2 linked regions of the Lytechinus pictus genome follow. The protein of the gene in region 1 interacts with the protein of each later gene in a biochemical or structural test. Links are inferred from orthologs where the notes say so. Each region holds a gene or a part of one and is shown on either strand. Other genes may lie near its edges.

What was found. The genes of interacting proteins can lie anywhere in the genome.
Region 2: the proteins of AP-1 complex subunit gamma-1-like (region 1) and clathrin interactor 1-like form a complex in vitro, tested with the Homo sapiens proteins (2 studies listed by BioGRID). The link is inferred for Lytechinus pictus from reciprocal best matches to the Homo sapiens genes AP1G1 and CLINT1.

The regions. Positions count from the first base shown.
Region 1 is NC_087246.1:45,990,232-46,000,872, reverse strand, and holds the start of AP-1 complex subunit gamma-1-like, read left to right. Parts: upstream 1-6,518; 5' UTR 6,519-6,832; intron 6,833-10,641. UniProt on the Homo sapiens protein: Subunit of clathrin-associated adaptor protein complex 1 that plays a role in protein sorting in the late-Golgi/trans-Golgi network (TGN) and/or endosomes.
Region 2 is NC_087256.1:25,890,608-25,901,193, reverse strand, and holds the start of clathrin interactor 1-like, read right to left. Parts: upstream 4,249-10,586; 5' UTR 4,094-4,248; coding exon 4,050-4,093; intron 1-4,049. Other genes in the region: methylated-DNA--protein-cysteine methyltransferase-like, read left to right, coding at 9,328-9,473, 10,256-10,398. UniProt on the Homo sapiens protein: Binds to membranes enriched in phosphatidylinositol 4,5-bisphosphate (PtdIns(4,5)P2). May have a role in transport via clathrin-coated vesicles from the trans-Golgi network to endosomes. Stimulates clathrin assembly.

The DNA of each region.
Region 1 (10,641 bases):
TGAACAGGATGGGTAACTAACAAATTATTTTATGCGAGCGAAAAACGCGAGCTTAACATTTTTGATATTCGAATATAAAAAATGATCCGACCCAAAGCTGGACATTCTAAGCACATTTGGTAACCATGAATGGGATGGGTATCTATCTACTAAACAATTGATGTGAGATTAAGGTCAATTTGGTGCCCCCCCCCCCCCCCCCGAATACGGGGATGAAGACCAAAAGACGTTAGAAGATCGAACTATTTTCGAACTATTTCTATTACAGATTTTATTTCGAACAATAAAATATGGATTTTCATTAAGCAAAACTTTTTTTTTTCATTTTTATGAAATTTACAGCATTATGCCAGTCTTCTTTTTCTTCATTTTATTTTAAGTGAACTTGCTTTTTGAAAGGTTGATTTTTCAGGTCAGTACATGAAAAATCAGCTCGCGCTAGCTATATGTGTTTAACCATGCTCACGAACTCAAACTGTGCTTAATACTTCCCGTTCTCAGGTTTAATAATACAATATTATAAATCAGGCGCTTGACGGGCGTTCATAATGAATTTAGGACCGATCAATAAAGCTGCAAAGTATTCATATATCACTTACTTTCAGATCTTCTAGCAGCAGCCGATTGGGGGAAATCATATGAATATGACCCCCGGCCCCACTGGCCGATCGGGGGGAGGGGGGCTCAGCCGTCCAGCGCCCACCCCTCTTTGAGAGCCATAATCAAAATTTGTAATGTATTAATACACCGCTTTTACCCAAATGTGCCCCCCTTTTGAAAGTGCACATGAGGACCCCCCCCTTTTTTTTTGCTTTTCAAATACTTCTTTTCAAAAAAATATGACAGCCTGAAAGGGACCGTTTATAGAAATGAATTAACATGATACCTATATTATGATTATATGATTAAAAAAGTTATTTAGAATGCCCAGATTCTGGTCGAAATCTGAAACACGCACGCGCATGTTCAGATACGCAGCTTGTTCTTTATTTAAATCATTATCCAGTTTCAGACCAGAATATCAAAAAATTTCTGCTCGCAATTTGCGCTCACAGTATTAATGTAGTAATGTTTCAAATTCCTCATCCTTTCCATGATTGACAAAACTTGAATAGAGTGTCCCATTTTTAGGTGTAAATCTCGAATTTTTCCGCTCACGCTTCGCGCTCGCATCAATTGTTTAATTATATACTTATCCTTTTCACAATTACAAGTGCTTAGAATTTATATTCTTCAGGTAGAAATGTCAAAATTATATAGTTGGATACACATCTCGTTTAGGATCACAGACATTGCCCAGAATGTTTAATTGTTAGGACAATTAAATACATGAAATAAAAAAAGCTCGCGCTTCGCGCTCGCTTTATTTAGAAAAGGCTTATGAGATTATTATATATTTATGTTGATTTATAAGAATAAAGCTTAGAAGTGACTAAAAAATAAGACAACCCTTCAAAGAAACAAACAAAAATCAACTTCGAGCTGCCGATCGGGAAAATGTGGCTGAAAAAAATCCGCCTCCCCCTATTGGTGAAGGCTGGATCCGCCCCTGCCTCCAGGAGATAGGGGTACAATATTTCCGACCCATGTTGTGGACCTTTACAGAGGCGGAGAGGTGTTAACATTTGTCTCATTTAATTTCTATACACATTTCACACCTCAGAAAAAGAAAATAATATGAGAAAAAAATGGACAAATAATTATACTGAAAACAAAAGCTATTAATTTGTAAAATAGGCCTATATGGGGTTTAATTACGAGTATTGGCAACGGAGCTTTGTCAATAGTAGGTGCCCCCGTGTACCTCTGCTCATTTCAATCCAATGCATCTTTTAAATTATTCTTATTTTATATAAATCAGATAATAGGGCCATAAAAGTAAGGGCTTGCCAGAAAATTCAATAATTATATTTTTCTTAAATTAAGTGCATGATGCTTGTTAGAATTTTCAGAAATATGGAAAAGGTTGACAGTTATGGAGTCGATAACCTTTTTATACCGATGAGAACCAAATTATTGAAAAAGCGAACTCCCTTTCCAACTTAACTGTAGGTCTATGGGTTTGACAATATATATGTATATACATATATTTTTTTAAACTGTCATAGGGATTTGTCATCCATTTCCTCGTGATGTTTTAGCGCCTCAATATATATATATTTTTCTGGTCAAGCATGTGTATGCCAGGGGTCGGGGCCACGGTACAGTTTTGAATGTGGAGGTAGGGGGATGGACTGACCACGCCCCCCAAAAAAGATACACCAGTGGCGTAGCTAAGGGGGGGGGGCCTGGGGGACACATGCCCCCCTGAGATTTGATGTGCCCCCAGGTGCCCCCCCCCCCCCCCTAAAAAAAATTGGCGGAGCAAGAAAAAGGAGAAAGAAGAAAAGAAAAAAGAAAAAGAAGAAAAGAAAAAAAGAAAAAGGAGAAAGACAGAAGGAAAAAAGAGGAAAATAAGAGGAGGAAGACGAGTGAATAAAATAATGTAAAGGAAAGACTTGCAAAAAAAAAAAAAATCTTTCATGTTACTATATAAAAATTTCGCTTGAGCTTCACGCCCGAATTGCCTGTTCGATAAGATTCACATCTTGCTCAATAGGCTGATATGGAGCTTATCAAGTTTTGAAGTCAATATACAAAACATATTTCAGCTCGGACATCGAGCTTTCATTATTTTTTATTTTTTAATTTACAAATTTAAGTGCTCTGTAAAATGTCCGTTTTATGGTCTACATAAATTATCAACACTTTAAGCTCACGCTGCGTGGTCGCATTATTTGATTGTCTTCGTGTATTCCATAAAGTTATCAAAATATCAATTTTCAGATGTGATTGTCAAACGTATGCCTATATAAGTTAACGTTGCGCGCTCGCATTTTGATTGGTGAGTAATACTCTATATTAATTCTACAGCGCGTATCAACAAAAAGTTTACACTTTGAAAAATCCCTGAAAATTAAAAAATATACAGCATGTGGGTAATTTTTTCACATATAATCTTGGGTTTGGGTCTCATCTATCCAATGAAAGTAAAAGTTTTGACCGAATGTTACACTTGAGTGAGCACTGTCCATTTTTGTAAAGCTCGCAGAAATCTGTTTGCGCAAAAATGCTAGTTTTCACGCTGTGCAAGGGGAAAGGGCCCGGGGGGCCACTTCCATTGAGGAGTGGATACCATGCGCGACCACGGGGTCTTGAAAAGCACCCTAAACACGTATTTTCCATCTTCTGAAAATGCACCCCTTAACAAGTATTGGCGTGTGAAACCCTACCCTTTACAAGTATTAGAAACAAAGACTATTGGCAATTCCCAGAACTGAGCCCCTAAACAAGTACAGCGATGTATTTTCCATATTCTGAAAATGCACCCCTTAACAAGTATTGGAAACAAAACGATACTCTTAGCAAGTATTCCCTGAAATGAACCCCTAAACAAGTACAGAGATATTTTATTGTTATGTCACGCGTCCGTCGGTCGTCGGTTTTACCTTTAGACACCTTCCACACCTCGCGCAAATCGGACTCTAAACACGTATAGTGTTGGGGCAAAAAGGACATCCTTTATAAAACATTTTGATTTTGTTTTATCATCCCTGCATATTTGACCCTAAACACGTATATTTTTCCGAGCGAAATAGATACCACTTTTTCAATATTTTTGTGTTTTTTACACCCTTATCAAGTTACGTACGTAGCGTGCCCTATCTTGAAAAAGACATCCTTTTTACGTGTTTTTTTGGTCGCGCATGGTATCCACTCGTCAATGTAAGTGCCCCCCCCCCCCGGGAGAAAGGGCCAAATCAAACTTAACCTGCAAAACATTTCTCATACATTTCCCTTGCACTTTTAGACAATTTAAATAAATCGGATACATTCAAGCATTTTGTAACAATTGTGCTAACCAAATTGAAATTTCAACACTTAGTAAGCACAACCTTTACCCTTTTTGTGCCAGCTGGATCTGAGGACATAACTGAATCTGAACAAAAGTTTATATAAGACATCTCCAGCATTTTTTCACTAAGTTTTTATAATTTAAAGTGGGTCTACATTTCATTTTTCATTTAATACTTGTTTCTACACACTTTTCCCAAGCTTGACAATGATTAACAAAATGAAAATCAAGCCTAAGCCATTTCATGTAAATCACAGCTCAGTGTAAAGCAAATATCGTCACGAATGCCTCGGTGTGTGGGGGAGTGCATGGGGTGGGGCACAATGCACTCTTCGAAGTGTTTTGGGCAAGGAAACAAGTTAAAAAGGGTAAAAGATATCCTCAAACCAATTTTACTAGCTAAATTCCATGTGTTCTTCGTGATTAAGGTCTACTTTTATTCGCATAACTATTTCAAAGTTATGCTCAATCATTTTTCACTAACTTTTCAAAAGTAGGTGCAGGTGCTCACTCAAGCGGAAATATTTTTCGACAGTTATCGTCATTTGCTTAAATGGATCTGTACCAATGTTAAAATGTGGAAAAATCTTCAAGATATTACAAATGTGTAATTTTACAGGAATTTTTCTAAGTGTAAACTTTTTTGATACGCATATAACCAAACAAGTTCCCCTTTTCATTACATTTTATTAAAAAATTCAGCTCGCGATTTGCGCTCGCATTAATTGTTAAAGATGTATCAACCATTGTAATGCGTATTCATAATTACAAAATGCTTAAAATTTCCAGTTTTAAGCCTTAAAATTAACAACTTCCTCGCTGTCATTACGCAGATTAATAAATAAAAAAATAATTTTCATGAATTCCTAATAACCAAATTGCGTCTTTTCAGAATGGAATATCGACAAGCTTAATAATAGGAAGATAGTCATCATTTTCATATGATGACAAAATGTCCTTAGAATGTACCGGTCCAAGTTTGTTAAAATAATAACAAAAAATATCAGCTCGTGCTTCGCGCTCGCATCATTCATTAAGTCTGATTCACATCTACTTCACAAAATTTCCTACAACTGTACAAAGTACTTAAAATAGTGTTTAAATTGACCTTTTTTCCAGATCGGAATATCAAATGTTTTCGGCTCGCGCTTGCATTATTGATCTAATACATAAGAAAATAATTTTCATGAATTCCTAATAACCAAATTGCGTCTTTTCAGAATGGAATATCGACAAGCTTAGGAATAATAGGAAGATAGTCACCATTTTCATATGATGACAAAATGTCCTTAGAATGTACCGGTCCAAGTTTGTTAAAATAATAACAAAAAATATCAGCTCGTGCTTCGCGCTCGCATCATTCATTAAGTCTGATCCACATCTACTTCACAAATTTCCTATATACAACTGTATATACAAAGGGCTTGAAATAGTGTTTAAATTGACCTTTTTCCAGATCGGAATATCAAATGTTTTCAGCTCGCGCTTGCATTATTGATCTTCATGATTAAACAAATGTATTCAGAATGCCCAGATTCTCGGTCAAAATCTAAAACATGCGCGATAGCCTGCATGTTTTTTTTAATTTAAAATGTGCTTAAATTAGCCAGTTTCAGATCAGAATATCAGTAATTGTCTGCTTGTGCTTCACACTCGCATTATTAATGATAACCAATTAACCATATTCATGATTTAGAAAATATGAAAAGAATATCCTGCTTTTAGGTCTAAAATCTCAAATTTCTTCTGCTCGCGCTTCGCGCTCGCATCAATTATTTAGTTACATACCTATCCCATTTATGATTACAAAAAGTGCTTAGAATGACAATTTTTAGGTCGGAATGTCAAATTTTTTTAGCTCGCGCTTCATGCTCCCATTATTGAAATATGTACCGTCTTCGTGGGTAACTGTAAACAGTCCTTTACAGCCCTTTTCGATCACTATTATTATAGAACATTTATTAAAAATTTCTGCTTGCGCTTGGCGTTCACAGTAACTATATCAAGCCATACGCTTCGTTCAAGATCATAAACATTGCCCAGAATGTTAAATTTTCAGGACAAAATACATGAAATTAAAAAAAAATCGCTCGCGCTTCGCTTCGCGCTCGCACTAAAAAAAAAAAGAATAGGGCGTATGATATTATTTCATATTTATTTCGTTTTATAAGAATAAAGCTAAGAAGTGACTCACTGACTGATCGGGGAAAATATAGGTGAAGATAATTTCGGGCCTATCCCCTATTGGCGAAAGTAGGATCTGCCCTTGTGACACATACACACAGAAAGAATGTTGCCCCCCTGAAAAAGCAAGGACCCCCAGTGCCCCCCCCCCCAGGAAAAAAAATCCTATAATACGTACGCGCCACTTTGACACACACATAAGCGCATCATCAGATCGTCACGTGTTTGTAGGCCTATGTTTATTATTGACATTATTGACAAGGACAAAAGCGGGAGGGGGGGGGGAAGGCTGTCAGCATGGTCCCTCGATCGCCCCTCGCTTCGGAAGGGGATGGGGCCTGGGGGCTCAGGGACGCCGCCCAAGATAGTTCGAGGGTATTCGCGACGCCCCAAAGTGGGAGGGTACGAGAGGGCGCGCGGAGTATCTCGCTGTGACGTCACCCCTGCCACGAATATTTTTTGTGTACGTCCGCATGAAAGAATAGTTCTCAGATTTTACTCCTTTCACTCCTTTTAAATTGAAATCGATATCAAATCTATTTTTATTTTTCTTTGTTATATTCTAGAATGGTGGGATAACATCGAAGATCATTTTCATGTAATTTTCAAATCAGCGTATGAACATCCTCTGCAGTTGGCCAGCAATTCGGTTCAATGTCGACCATATTGGCAATACACACGAGTGTAATAATGCGAGGAAAATAGGGAAATAGCGCCGGTATAAATAACAATTTTGTATTTTCTGGTGGTAGGGTAAGTAGTTTGTACTTCTATGTTTTATTCGATATGCGATTTTAAGATTGGAAATGATTTTGATAAGGTTTTCTGACTGGTGTTTGCTGAACATGGCACTAAGCGTCGAACACCGAGCAAGTGATGATGCGAATGCTGTGTGTGAATATGCGGAGACCAGCGGGTGCATAGTGAACGCCTGCTCCGATCCTCACTCGAACCCGTAGGCTCTCTACTGCGAGAGAGGAGGTTCCGTGTATATGATGAGTGGTGGTGCGGTGTTCCTGTTTTTAGTGTTGAGTTCATCAGTATCAAGAGCCAGCCTAAGGCTATGTTGTTAGATGAGATCATGTCTCTTATTTCATTAGTTTACTGTCCATATTATTATTGTTTTTCCAAATATTTTCTCCCTTATAATGGTTGTTTAAAAAACTTTAAATTATTTTCAATTTGAATAGAATTAGAAATAATGAACTGCTCTCTGCTTAACCCAGGGAGCTCCGGCCCGCGCAGCGGGCCGGAGCCCAGGGGCTTACCGTGTATTTGACCATACTCACAGGACTAGCGTGATTTATGGTCTAAATATTTCTCCAAATGAATAGTGAAAACAGAATTTATGCACTTACCGCGATGATATGGATGAAGGTCTAACGAGTGGCAGTTTCCTGACATCGAGGCACAGACTGGAACTTCAAAAAAACGAAAAGTTCTCTCCTTCTAGTTCTACCCCCGTCTCGATCGGCCATTTTGTTACGATTCATAACAAAAATGGCTGATCGAGACGGGGGTAGAAGGAGAGAACTTTTCGCATAAGCGAGACCTACACACCCGGATGGATTTCCCTAGGAAATCCGTAGTTAGAGGGTGAAATCGGTTTGTACGGGTGAATTTTATTTATCTATGAACCTTCATACGCCTAATGCATATAAGGGGATAAAAATTTTATTCACTATAAATGGCATAAATGAGAGGTTTCTTACCAGACCGATCTCGTGTAGATCCCTCGATCCGTTTGTCAACAAAGCAAATACAATAGGCCTGACCCTTGAACCGCTTCTTTATGACGTACCTTCAATTAGCGATGTTACAAAATGCCGTTTTGAAGAACAATTTATAGATAAAAATTATTATGTAGCAAGTAAAATTTAATACGTGATTATAGAAAATTATTATAATACTTCGTGTACAAATTTTTTTCGGCATTACTCCTATTTGTTTAAGATCGGTATGCTCGATCTGTAATGAAAATCATAAATCAGAAAAAGTTGGAACCAGTGGGATTCGAACCTGCCATCTACTGCTTTCCGGGCAGCGACTTAACCACCAGCCTATTCTGGTTCACGGCTAAGCCAAGATGAACTGGAAATCAAATACCCTCGATCCTCTTTAGTATTCGAATGCCGTCTGGCGTGGACAATAGATAGTAAATGAAGAGGCTTTAATAGGAGGAAATTATAATTTGTTTACAAAATTTTTTTGGCATTACTCCCATTTGTTTAAGATCGGTATGCTCGATCTGTAATGAAAATCATAAGTCAGAAAAATAAGGTTCGAATCCCACTGGTTCCAATTTTTTCTGACTTATGATTTTCATTACAGGTCGAGCATACCGAACTTAATGACGTAGTGGCATAACGTGGGTAGACTATGAAATGCAAAAGCACCTCAAAATTTGAAAATCATAATCTTACATTGTCAATCATATAAGTTATAATTACATTGCAAAACAAGTGGGAAAGATCAGTAATTGTAATATCCAGAAGCTATAAAACTGTTGGTAAAACGCCACAAAACCATTCATTTTGAAGAAGTAAAATGGATTGAATCTATAAAGATACTGCCACGTCAGGCCATCCATAATTGGACTTGTATCCTTTGTTTTCAGACTCTTATCAACATTTTGATAATTTTTTATTACATATACATGCATAGAATTAGTCAAGTATGTTTCGGTATCTAAAGATTTAGACAATTGATGCTACTTACACTATATTTTGATGTTAGGAATCATAAAAAGGCATATAATTATTTTCATTTTACAAAGGAACCTTTATGATTAACTTTTGTAAACTATCAGAATTTGATATCCCGGGGGTACCCATCTCAACGTCCACATGTGTTTTTAAGTCATAAAATGAATTGGTGTGTGCAGGATAGGAAATAATTTTGATTTTTTAGGGGCTATTTTTCTATATTTTTTTCATTTGAAGGGCTACTTTTTAGGGGTAAAAAGTATGTGTGCAATAAATGCAAATATTCTTCTGCCACAGTTAGAATATTGATTTTCTAAATCTTGAATTGTTTGGAACAGATCATGGGACAACACTAGAAAGAATGGTTGCCCCAATGCATGCATTTTGAGGGAATTTTAGGCCGTGATTTTGGCTGTCATCGGGGCGAAATCGCCCGTCGCGCTCATGTATACGCTGGGTGTGTGTTGTGGTGATTGACTGTCCTGGCTCGTGAAATGAATTTGCCATGTCGAATGGCGGCACATGTTGAATTCTGGGCGCGTTACTCAAGACCCTAGTTGTGAACAAGCTAGGTCTGGAAATCGCATAATGCAAGCAAGACTTCGACTTTTAAACTTTGGCAGAAAACTGATTTGGATAATCTGAAGGCATTACAAGGATGTCATTTCAAAAGTAAATGACTAAATGATAAAGGTAGCTGTGCTAAAGCCGGTGTAATGATAATATTATCATGTTAAGCAGGGCTGGCTGGTAGAACAGTTTTCAGAACTGAAGTGGCTACCCTGGGTAAAATATGACATTATTATTTTTATTATTATTAAATTGAAGTTATATTATAACAGTTGTACATAGGTATCATCACTTAAAAATGAAGCATCTTCATGTATGATCCAACCTTTGAGTTATTGCTCATTAGGTGTTGAGTTGTCAATGTGATTTGGATAATTTTTGTAAACTCACATTAGCAGGGCATGAATGAATTTAAGGCCACCAACACCAAGGCCTTAGAACAGTATCTACATCGGTGGGCCTCAATTCCCCTTTCAATAGTCTTGGATATTTTTGGGTCGGAGCCAGAAGTTGGGAACCAAAACCTGAAATTTCAAAGTGAATTTGACTTTGATCTTCCCTTTCATTGAAAAGCTCAAAATTTGTACTATGAATATTAGTGCTGTTATCGGTAAGAAAATTCTCTGTCGATAAGAATCGACAAACACGTTGATGTGAGCTGTAAATTGAATGCGAGTGAGTGTGTGGCTAAACTTGTGTCCTGAGGGAAATTTAAGCTGATCTTTTTTACTGTTTCACTAGGTAATTATGTACTTAGTGGTTGCTTGTGAGTGAGCGCTATGGCTTCTTGCACAAGTACAGAAATTTAGGGGCGGGTATGAAAGTGGAATTATAGTGATTAAAAGTTGTGTAGCGTATGAGAACTTAGAATCAATGTGAGGCTGTGAGCTTGTTCACTTGTTTACAACTCCCACGCAAGTTTTATGCAGATGCTACCGTGTACACGGTCATGGGATTCAGTACACATGCACTGACTTGACCGTGCGTGTACACTTGTACTCGAAACGGGCCTACAATCAATCCTATCGTATTCCTTGAGGTTATCTGCGAAACATCAGTTCAAATTTCAAGTTTTTTGTAAAAAAATAATAGTTTGGAGCACTCCGACACATATTTCATAAATTTTCAGATAGTTATATTGGACATTATAAGCTGGGAGGCTGGGACCCCATAGGGTATTAATTTAGGAGTACACTGACACTACTAAACCATTAAAACTAATTTCTTACAATTTCTGGCAAATATTAAAGTAAAGTTATACCTTATTTCCGTCCTGTCGGATAAAGT
Region 2 (10,586 bases), on another chromosome or scaffold:
TCAATATACTTAAAGAAATTTTTTTAATAATGATAATAAAACAAGTTGTAAAATTCCTGTGAGATTGTTACGTAAAACAAACAAATTGTATTTTCCTTTTAAAGGCAATGACAAAGAGTAAAAAGAAATGTCTAACCTCTCATCCCATTTCACTCCACCCTCACACATACATGCATCATAAAAATATATAATATAGAGGTCCATTAAAAACCACATCCACCCACAAGTGCATCAAACATGATCTCATTTTCTTTCTCTTTCATCTCCATCACCAATTATCTTGAGAGTAAATCAATTTTATTTCTTTCTTGGAATTTTAAAACAACTTTGCAGCAAAGACTGCACTTGAGTGTAGAGTGTAGTGTAGACCAGGTCATAGGCCAGGATGGATATTGACAAGGATGGTAAAAGCAAGTACTGCCAAGTAGCCAGGAAAATGTACACGAAACATCATCGATCAGCTGTTCTAATAGTTTGGTATGATGCCATTGGTAGGATCGGTGCTCAAGCTTCATCTAAAAAAATAAAACATAAATATGAAAAAGTCATTGTAAAGAGATGCACTTCCAGTTCAAACCTATATTGAGCAATATTTAATTTATTTTTAACAATAACACAGATTCAATGGCTGGGCTGAATCAAGGTAACTGAGGCCTATATGTTGCCAATTTCATGAATAACAAAAACAAACTTTGTCTGCACATAACATACCCCTGGGCCCCTAAATTGAAAAAAAAAACATTTAGGCCTATATTGCTGTGTTGGCAACACCTACAGATTTTTTTTTAAAGGTCTCTTTTTCATTATTATTAATATTGTATTGCCAATTTGAAGAGAAAAAGATTATGAAGTGCAATGACATTAAGCCCCAGCACAGCCAAAAGCGATGTCGATGATTCAAACTTCAAAAGTCAGAATGACTCCCCAGATTCGCTAGTCCAACTCCAAGTGAAGTCTGACATTGACAATAAACTTAATTAAGGTAAGTCCAACTTCCATTTATCAATATTATTAATATAATCATTATGGTCAAACAATGAAATTTCCTATTAAATAAATCCATCGAATCACTAAAACCTTTGAAAATAATTATCCTTCCGTTTCGTTTGGCTAGGCTAACTTTATTACGTGTGTAGCCCATAGGCGTACGCATAGCCACCCGGCTCACACGCAATCTCGAACTCGTGAATTTCCTCAAAATCCACCCCGGGACGCCAGGGGAAGCCCCTGTTCCAACCTCAATATCTTAAAACCGCTATGTCATGCGACAAAGTGGAAAGAAAAATCAAGTCCAGAATGAATTCAGCTTTCAGAAAATACCACATTTTCACTTCTATCTTGATGGATATATATCGTATTTCACATAATATCGTCGAAAAATACGAAAATTCAACGGAAAATTGTACTTACCAGTGATATTCCAGACCAATTTGACAGTCAAAACTATTCGTTGAAGCTCTCCCATTGTTCGTTGACGATGACGTAAGTATCCATGATGAAATTTTCATACACATCATACCTATTGGGCAAATCACTTTAAAAATAAGAGTAGATTCATCCACCCTTACATTTGCCAATACACTCGGCAATCTCAACGATAGCAGCTTATCGGCGGCAAAACGGTCCATGCAAAAAAAGCGCCGTTTACGCGCAGCGCCCTCTAGCGTTCATGATTGTACCTACTTAAGATACAAACCACAACTAAGGAGACAAACAATCAGTTGTATAGGCAACATTTATCTCAATTAACTTTTTCTTGTCATTCTTGCAATGTGTGTTAATGCTTTTTCGTGTCTTCTTAATTTGACTGAGAATGAGGTTTTCAAGATTGGCTCCAACACTAGGCCTACACTACAGTTCAATCATTGACCGACACTCTTGTTCTAACATTCATATGTCAGAACAGAGATTACCTAATACGTAATAAAATGTAGAGTCTACAAGCAATTCAATGCGTAAGATGATGTTGCCTGTTTTCTAATTTTTCTGCATAAATGCATTAATCATTTCATATCACAAAAAATCAATTTTGCTGAGGCGAGTGATAAATTGCTCTACCTGAAAAGGCGAGTGATCACTCTCACTCCCCTTAAAGGAGAATGAAACCCTTGAAACCAGCTGAATCCATATCAAAGAGAAAAATCAAAGAAACATATTGTTGAAAGTTTGAGGAAGATTGAATGAATAATAAGAAAGTTATGAGCATTTGAATATTGAGATCACTAGTGCCATGTAGATCCTCCCATCGGCAATGCGACCAAGATCTGTGATATCACACACGTACAACTCCCTCATTACTTTAGTACTTATTTAACTTATATTCTCACTTTTATAGAGTCTATCACAAGGTGAGGTGTTCTCTTTATGAGATGACAAGTACAGAGGTTTCACAACATTATATCATTGATGAATCGTTTGTCATATGATTAGAATGAGCAAAAAGAGATGTTTTGGGGTATATTTTCAGTGTCCAAATGGGAGAGTTGTACGTGTGTGACATCACAGATCTTGGTCGCATTGCCAATGGGAGGATCTCCATAGCATTAGTGATCTCGACATTCAAATGCTCATAACTCTTTTATTGCTAGTCCTATTTTACTCAAAGTTTTGTTGATCTTATTCTTTGATTTTTCTGCTTTCACAAAAGCTAACTTGCTCCAAGAGTTTCATTCTCCTTTAAAACTGAGTCTGTTGAGTTGTCGAAATAGGAATTTTTAACGGCCATTTGAATACAACTATTTAGGTAGAATCTAGGCCTAACGATTAACGTTAGAAACATTTTGGTACAGTAGATTATTATTCTGCAACTGCAACGTCACTCAGAATCAGAGTTAAGCTAATTCTAACATTTAATAATAAACATTAAATTCACCTTTCAAAAACATTTCAAACTCAGTAACTGTATGGTCAGTTCCCCCATGTCTGCGCGGTCTCCCAAGTCTGCGCACCCGCGTATCTGCGCGATTCTAGTAAAAGAAGATACGCAACGAGCACGAACTTTACACATGCAATACATAGACAGGTATTCTTAAAAAAATCCGACTCAAAATGGTGAAAAAATAATGAATTCAGGGCATTTCATGTGACGGCCTCAAAATACAGCCTTTCTAATCAAAATCTCTGAATCGTGTGCAAAGTGAATGAGTGCGCAGACATGGGGTACCATTTTTTTTTTCAATCTGAAAATGACTGTCCAAGGTTTTTTCAAGAAAATCCTATATTTTCTTTCATTTTTTAATGAGAAATTTGGTATACTTACTCTCAATAATATAAGGAACATTATTATCCAAAAGATTTTGTGAAATAAGAAGAAATCCATGTTAAATCTTAACTCAAATTGTTAGGTGCAGACTTAGGGCCCACCATCATACTACTAAGTTGGAGATCAAACACTAAAACAGTTAACTTTTTAGGTCTATAAACGACAATGAACGATAGATCTAACAGTAACAAGTAACACGACTATTTTCTAATTTCCTTGTCAAATTAATTCATGAAACTTTTTTTTTGCCATTGCATTGGCAAATGCGGCAGGCTGAGAATGATGGACATTTGCATGTATAACTTAGTATTGTAACTTTGTTAAATTGACAATGACAGTCATTATTTTTTTCAATTAAAATAAATGACTGAGTGTAACGTAACTTACAGTTACACTATTGTCACTAGTCACTAGGCCTAACTATAACAACTAAACTAAAGTCTAAATTGACAAATGTCATCTCAGCTCAGCTCGGCGCATTTTCACGTCACTGCCGTTCATTCTAATATAAATATAATTATCATAACTCATGTCTATACCTGTCTTACATAATGAATTTGTTGTTGGTTCATTTGATTTGATTATTTACTTTAAGTTTGAGCAGCAGACAGACTGAATGAATGTGGGCGGGCGTAGCCACCGCCGCGCCGCAGCAAGCACACAGCATTTAAAATTATAGCACGGCGTTTGTACCGGCGGAATAGCATACAGAGATACGATAGCGATGGCAACGAACGTCATCACCGATTACCATTCTAGCGTATGGATAAAAAGAGTAGTAACTTACACTTTGTCCGTTAATTCACGGATCTTCCACATAGCCGACTGCATGATGGTGGCTTATGCAAAATCTAGTATTTTTGAAGAAAAAGTGATACGAAATACACAAAATTCAATTAGATGATCAAGGATTACGAATCCGTGATTTGGTGGTGGGCGTCTGCTGTGTACACTTGAAATGGATTTGCCGGTGTGCCGACGTCATCAAATCCGTGACCTCATTCAATGAATATGGGCAGCCCGAAGTTCCACAAAACAAAATGCTATTTAGCCATTTATCAGGAGAGCGGTTCGATCTGTAAGTTTCATCGGTATTGCCAATTCGGTGTATATACCTTCATTGAGTCTAACGCCATTCTGTCCATCAACATTTCGTCTAACAACCGTTTGGTCAAATAAATTTGGTCCAATAATCAGGCTTCGTCTAATCACCATTTCGTCTCATTTGGTCTAATATCCATATTATTTTCATTAATTTTGCCCAATTAACACTCAGTCTAAATGGTATGGACTAAATGGCTATTTGATCAACTGGTTATCAGACGAAATGATGATAGACCACATGATAGTAGACGAGGTGGTCTATTATAGCCGAATTGCCATTAAAGTGCAGTTAAACACATACTTGTCTTTAAGATGTAACTCTCTCGCTAGACAAATATTTTGTTGTATTGATATAATTTAAAGTAAATTATTACGCCTCACACTAAATATTTGTATTTATAGTTGTGAAACATAATTTGTTTGTTTGGTTTTTATCTGTGTGTATCATTAGTTAGTTCGTTTGACTTTCTTAGTATTTTTTTAAATATACATGCATGTATTTTATATTTCCAAATGTGTGACAACGGCTCAAGCATCTGCTTGTATTGTCATACCACTGCATGTCTGCATTGCCACTTTCATATAATCAGTTAATGTAAATGATCATAATTATACTTCATATTATATTTTTAATGTAAAATTTAATGTATTAACATTTTGTGATGGTCACACTGTCGGTACATTGTCATGACATGCAGAAACGAATAAATAAATAAAAAAATGGAAATAAACCGTTTCGTCGCCGTAAAAATAAAAAAGGAAATAATTAATCAAAAGAAAGTTTCTTTCAATCTTATCTACCTCGGTCAATGGATGGCGGGCCATGAAGTTACAATTATTACTCATGATCGATGGGGGGGGGGGGGGCATGCAGGATACTGTCGAAGAGCCACCCACCCTTTCCCCCAAAAAAAATCAAAAGTCACCCTTTGAAGAAAATCGAGCCCTGCCCCTGCCAATCGCAACTGCCCCCCACCCCCCCCCAAAAAAAAAAACCTTTGAAAAAAGAGCCCTGCTCCAGTGCGAATCACAACTCGTCTGCAATGGACAATCATGCCTAGAAATATATTTGGCATTATATTTCATTTATATAGATAAGAATTGATGCTGGTGCTTCCGCAGGTGGAGGGAGCAGGGGAGACCACCCGACCCCACCCCTTTAAGATTTTTCAAAAAAGAGGGAGCTTGAAAAGAGGAGAAAAATTGAAAAGTTCAAGAGGTGTGTCAATGTACTCCTATACTGTATAGAAGAAAATGCTATATGCAGGAACCCCCCCCCCCTCACCCGCTCCCCAAGGGAAAGGTTCCGTGAACTAGATTTTTAGACGGGTCCGGGATTTCATGGGGCAAATATGAAACCATCTGAGCAATTTTTAAATGGCATTTACCAGGACTGCCTTTTCTAACGCATCATGAAAGTTGGTCTGGGGGCTGATCGATAGCTGAGGGAGTCGCTGGAATTCTCTTGACTGACCTTATACATTGCCCTCAACAGAATCATATTAGAAATATATTAGCCCGGTTCTTTTGTAGACAGGCCGGTGCATGGGATTCGATCCTCGGGGCTGGTGGCGGGCCATTCCCCAAAGCAGGGGCGGATCCAGAATTTTCCAAACGGGGGGGGGGGGCACATTTTCCCCAGGAATAATTTGACAAACACAAAAAAATGATTTTCAACAAAAAATATACATTTCGTCCACAAAAAGATTTGACAAGCAAAAAAAAGAAAAAAAATAGGTCTTCACTTTTAAAGGGGGGGGGGGGCATACTTCTGTTTTAACAGCATGTTTAGACTACAAATTTTAATTGTGCCTCTCAAAGGGGGAGGGGCGGGTCGGCTTTGCCCCCCCCCCCCCCCTGGATCCGCCAGTGCACCAAAGTTCGGGTGGGGAGGCCCGGCTGTATCCATCCCCCGACAATTTACGGGCAGAGCATTATGATGAATCAAAATTATGACCAGTATAAGGAGGGCCCTGTAATGATCATGATGGTGGTATAGTGCAGATCAATACGCATGGCACCTCATTTTTTCTGGTAATTTATCTATATGTTTTTTTTTTTTTTTTTAGTGAAACCGTTCCTTTCGAAAACTGTTATAAACAGATGGAAGGGGAAAAAAAATCCACGATGAACGAGAATGAAATGCTATAATGTTGACGTTTTAATCATCTCGATCTACCCTCCCCGGGGGGGGGGGCACTCAGTATATAATGCATAGTGGGTATGTGCCGCGGAGGGGACCCCCATTTTTACACTCAAATTTCCGTTCCAAGGCATAGCATTTTTGTCTTATTGAGAAAAAGAACAAAGAAAGCCGCTCCAAAGCTTCGCATATTTTTCGTTACGCCGTTCCGGTCGCATTGATCCGCTACAATTTTGGTGAAAAGCGGCCGTAGAGCGCTTTTCGACCAGCATCGGCTAAGCGCGAGCGCACCCGGCGGAGGCCGCGCTAGCTGCGTTATGCACGATTGCCCGTTCCATATGGATGCATACGCACTCACAGAGATACGGAGATCCGTTCCGAGGACCCCCGTTTTCACAAACATTTGTAGTTCCGAAGCCTGTTCCGAGGACCCTCCTTTTTAAAATAAGCCCGCTCCAAGGCCCCCGTTTTTTGCCTCGCCCGCGGCACACCCCTACCACTTTTTTGGTCGAGTGCATGCCCCCCCCCCCCGGGCTCCCCTCCCTGCAAACAAGCGCATGTGGTAGGCCTACTTGTGCCCCCCTTGTGCCCTAGCTGGCCATTTACCAATTTTTAAAATGCATTTTGCCCGACAGGCCTGCCTCCCCCCATATCATTTGTTTTGCTCATTACATCACTGAACCCCCTATAAAACCTTTAAAAAACCTTCCCACTGATGAAAAGAACAATATTTGTGTAAGTCATCTCCGCCAACCACGATTGTCAATCGACACGGGATCGACACCCATGTGTATACCTCTAAAAAAACACGCCCATAGAAAAAAAAGTCCGACATTCGGCTTATACAATATATAGAGAGTTCCCATGAGCAAGACATGTTGGAGGGCAAACAATAAGAAACCTGTGCATAAAACCATATTAAATCGTCATTTATGTTTTATCACTATTTATTATATACCCCTCCTCTATTACACACAGCAAAAAAATATTTGTCCCTATTTGCTCTCCATAGCTGTATGTTGTTTTTATTTTTGATAGGCCGACATAGGAATGGTTAGTTTGATCGAAGTCCATTTGATATATTTAAAATAATCTATAAATCTCTTTGATCAAATCAGAGTAAAATATACTGATGCATGGAAAAAGATGATAAATTGAAATTTATTTATCACACCAATAATTACTCGATATTATCTATGCATTTGTTAGAGAAAAAGTATGAATGTTGAATACCTAGATTTATGGACACAAGACTAAAATATTTAATAAACAAAACAAGCCAGCATGCATGATGATGCAGTGCCAGTGATGGCGTATGTATCGGTATCAGACCCAACGTGACTCTGATTAATTTTTGCAAGGCTTAAAATCCGCAGTCGATTCAACAGCTTGTTGTTCATTCATTGATAACTAATAACTGAAGTCGCTACCCGATCTCGAGTAAACAGACAAGGTAAATCGAGTCAAACTTTAAGTCAAACTAGCTCATTTTTTTCACACGCCACAGACAGTACGAACAGGCGCGATCGCTGACCCCCCGCGCCCCCGGGCTGCCCACCGCTTAATTCCGACCCGTGGCCGTATACCCGACCCCAGGCCCACTCAAACTCAATTAGGCATAATTTAACAAGTTAGTTTATGCACTGTTTCGTTACTAACCAATACTCAATAGCCTGTAACACTGGTTTGTTTCGCACAAGATGGGAATATATTACAAACATGCAATTGCTTGAGGAATAAATCTGACTTGAATGGATATTATTATATCACGACACATTTTCCTGCATGCGTTTCACATCCCATCATTCATAATTCATGTCCACATAGACTGATAATTCCGCTGTTTCGGAGGAGTTTTTCAACATTTTCTGATTTTTTTCCCTCCTAGTCCTATTGACGGAGGGGATGCCGCAGAGCCAGACGAAGTCTCAGCGGAGCAAATCCCTGATCTGACAGAAATACATGTAGACCTAATGTCCACACTGCCTGAATAATTAATATTTCTAAGACAAATGACTAAAGCCTAAAGGCCAGTGGCAGTGATTTTATCCATTCAAATAATGATGTAGATCAAGAATATTTCAATATACCATCAGCGTCGTCAGATCAGGCATCATCCAATTAAATGTATCTTTGACAGTAGACAAGTTATGCATGGTTGGATTATTAAAGGTCAAGTCCACTCAGGAAAATAGAAAAATCAAACTAGCATAGTGCTGAAAATTTCATCAAAATCGGATGTAAAATAAGAAAGTTATGACATTTTTAAGTTTCACTTATTTTTCACAAAACAGTGATATGCACAACTAGGTGAGTCAGTTGATGTCCATCACTCACTATTTCTTTTGTTTTTTATTGTTTGAATTATACAATATTTCAATTTTTTTAAGCTTTGACAATAAGGACCAACTTGACTGAAACATATAGTATTAAACAATGCTAATTCCACATGTTCAGGGAGGAATTAATCGCTGTATCACTTGACAATGAGGAGAAAATTAGAATATTTCATATTTCGTATAATAAAATACAAAAGAAATAGTGAGTGGATGACGTCATCAGTCTCCTCAATTGCATACCAACCAGGATGTGCATATACCGGTAACTGTTTTGTGAAATCAAGCGAAAATTTTAAATATCATAACTTTCTTATTTTACATCCGATTTTCATGAAATTTTCAGTGTTATGCTTGTTGGATTTTTCTCTTTTTATTCAAATCAACTCTTTGTTGGGGTGGACTTGTCCTTTAAATAATCATTTTTAATTGTTTTCAACTTTCTTTTCTTTTTCTTTATTATTTTTTTACATTTTTACAGCATGCCTTCCCTTAAGAAAGTAGCCTGTGACATGGCAACAGTTGTCCTGTCAACACCAATTGGTCATGTGACAGTGACCGGATGTGATGTCGGTGTGCACAAGATTAGTTTGACAGCTGCAAAGACATTGCCAAAACAGAGCACAAAGTGAGTACGGTATTACAAATTGTGGGAGCGGGGGGGGGGGGGCTTTGCTATTGGTGTGCTTTTGAATTTGCATGCCAAATCATACTATGTTTTCTCTTTGAATGTGATTTCAGCGGAAGAGTTGTGAAAAAAGCTGCAAGTTAATGTGCTAAAGAGTAAAATTAATAAATGATCACTTCTGAATCAACAGGGCAGCAACAGGGGCCTTATCAAGCTGACCCCCCCCCCCCCCCAATTAAAAAATAAAATATTTGGCTTGATTGTATGCTTCGTATCTTGTATTTTGTGTTCTAGGCATAGTTTGTATCTCAGACTTTTTTAGATTTGTTTGATAATATTAATAATCCTTTCTCATGAACAGAAGGATCTGTAACTTGGTACTTGATTATTATAAGACATTGTACAGTAGTTTGAAACGTGTGCATATTCATTTGATGAATCGGTTGTCAGAGTAGACTCATTTTCATGAAATAATAAAAGCATCATCACAGTTTAACTGTAGTGTACCTTAAAAAAGTAAATGACTTCAGACATTTTTTGTGTGAAATTTTTCCCCAAGAATAATAATTATAAAAGAAAACAAATATTAGGGGGGGGGGTGGGGGTATACCGGTAATTATGGATTTCAAAACATCAATGATCATTCAAAAAATTAATTTCATGCCACCATTTTAATGAATTTTTAAATAAGATTCTCTACCCATTTGGAAATCTTTAGATCTCCACACCACAAATCTCTGCAAAATAATCATTTTATTAAAATTTCCATACCTTCTGATCAGAATAATTGAAGTATTTGAGGAACCAAGCCATTGGTCAGCTTCCCTGAAGGAGTGCTCTGATTGGCTGAGAAAATATTTTGAAGATGCTAGTTCTATCACGAGCCTTCCCCTTCCTCCTCTGCATATTACAGAATTCAAATCAGGTAAATTGTGATTCATCTTAAAATCAGATTTATGTTTGAAACTTGTCCTAATCAATATAAAAACCTGAAGATGAAGTGCATGAATGATTTATTATGCCAGTTGATATAATTCAAAATTGCCGCAGTTGACTTCCAAATTAATTTTTTAGCCGTCCTCAAAGACATTTCCTAAAATCTTCCCATGTTTG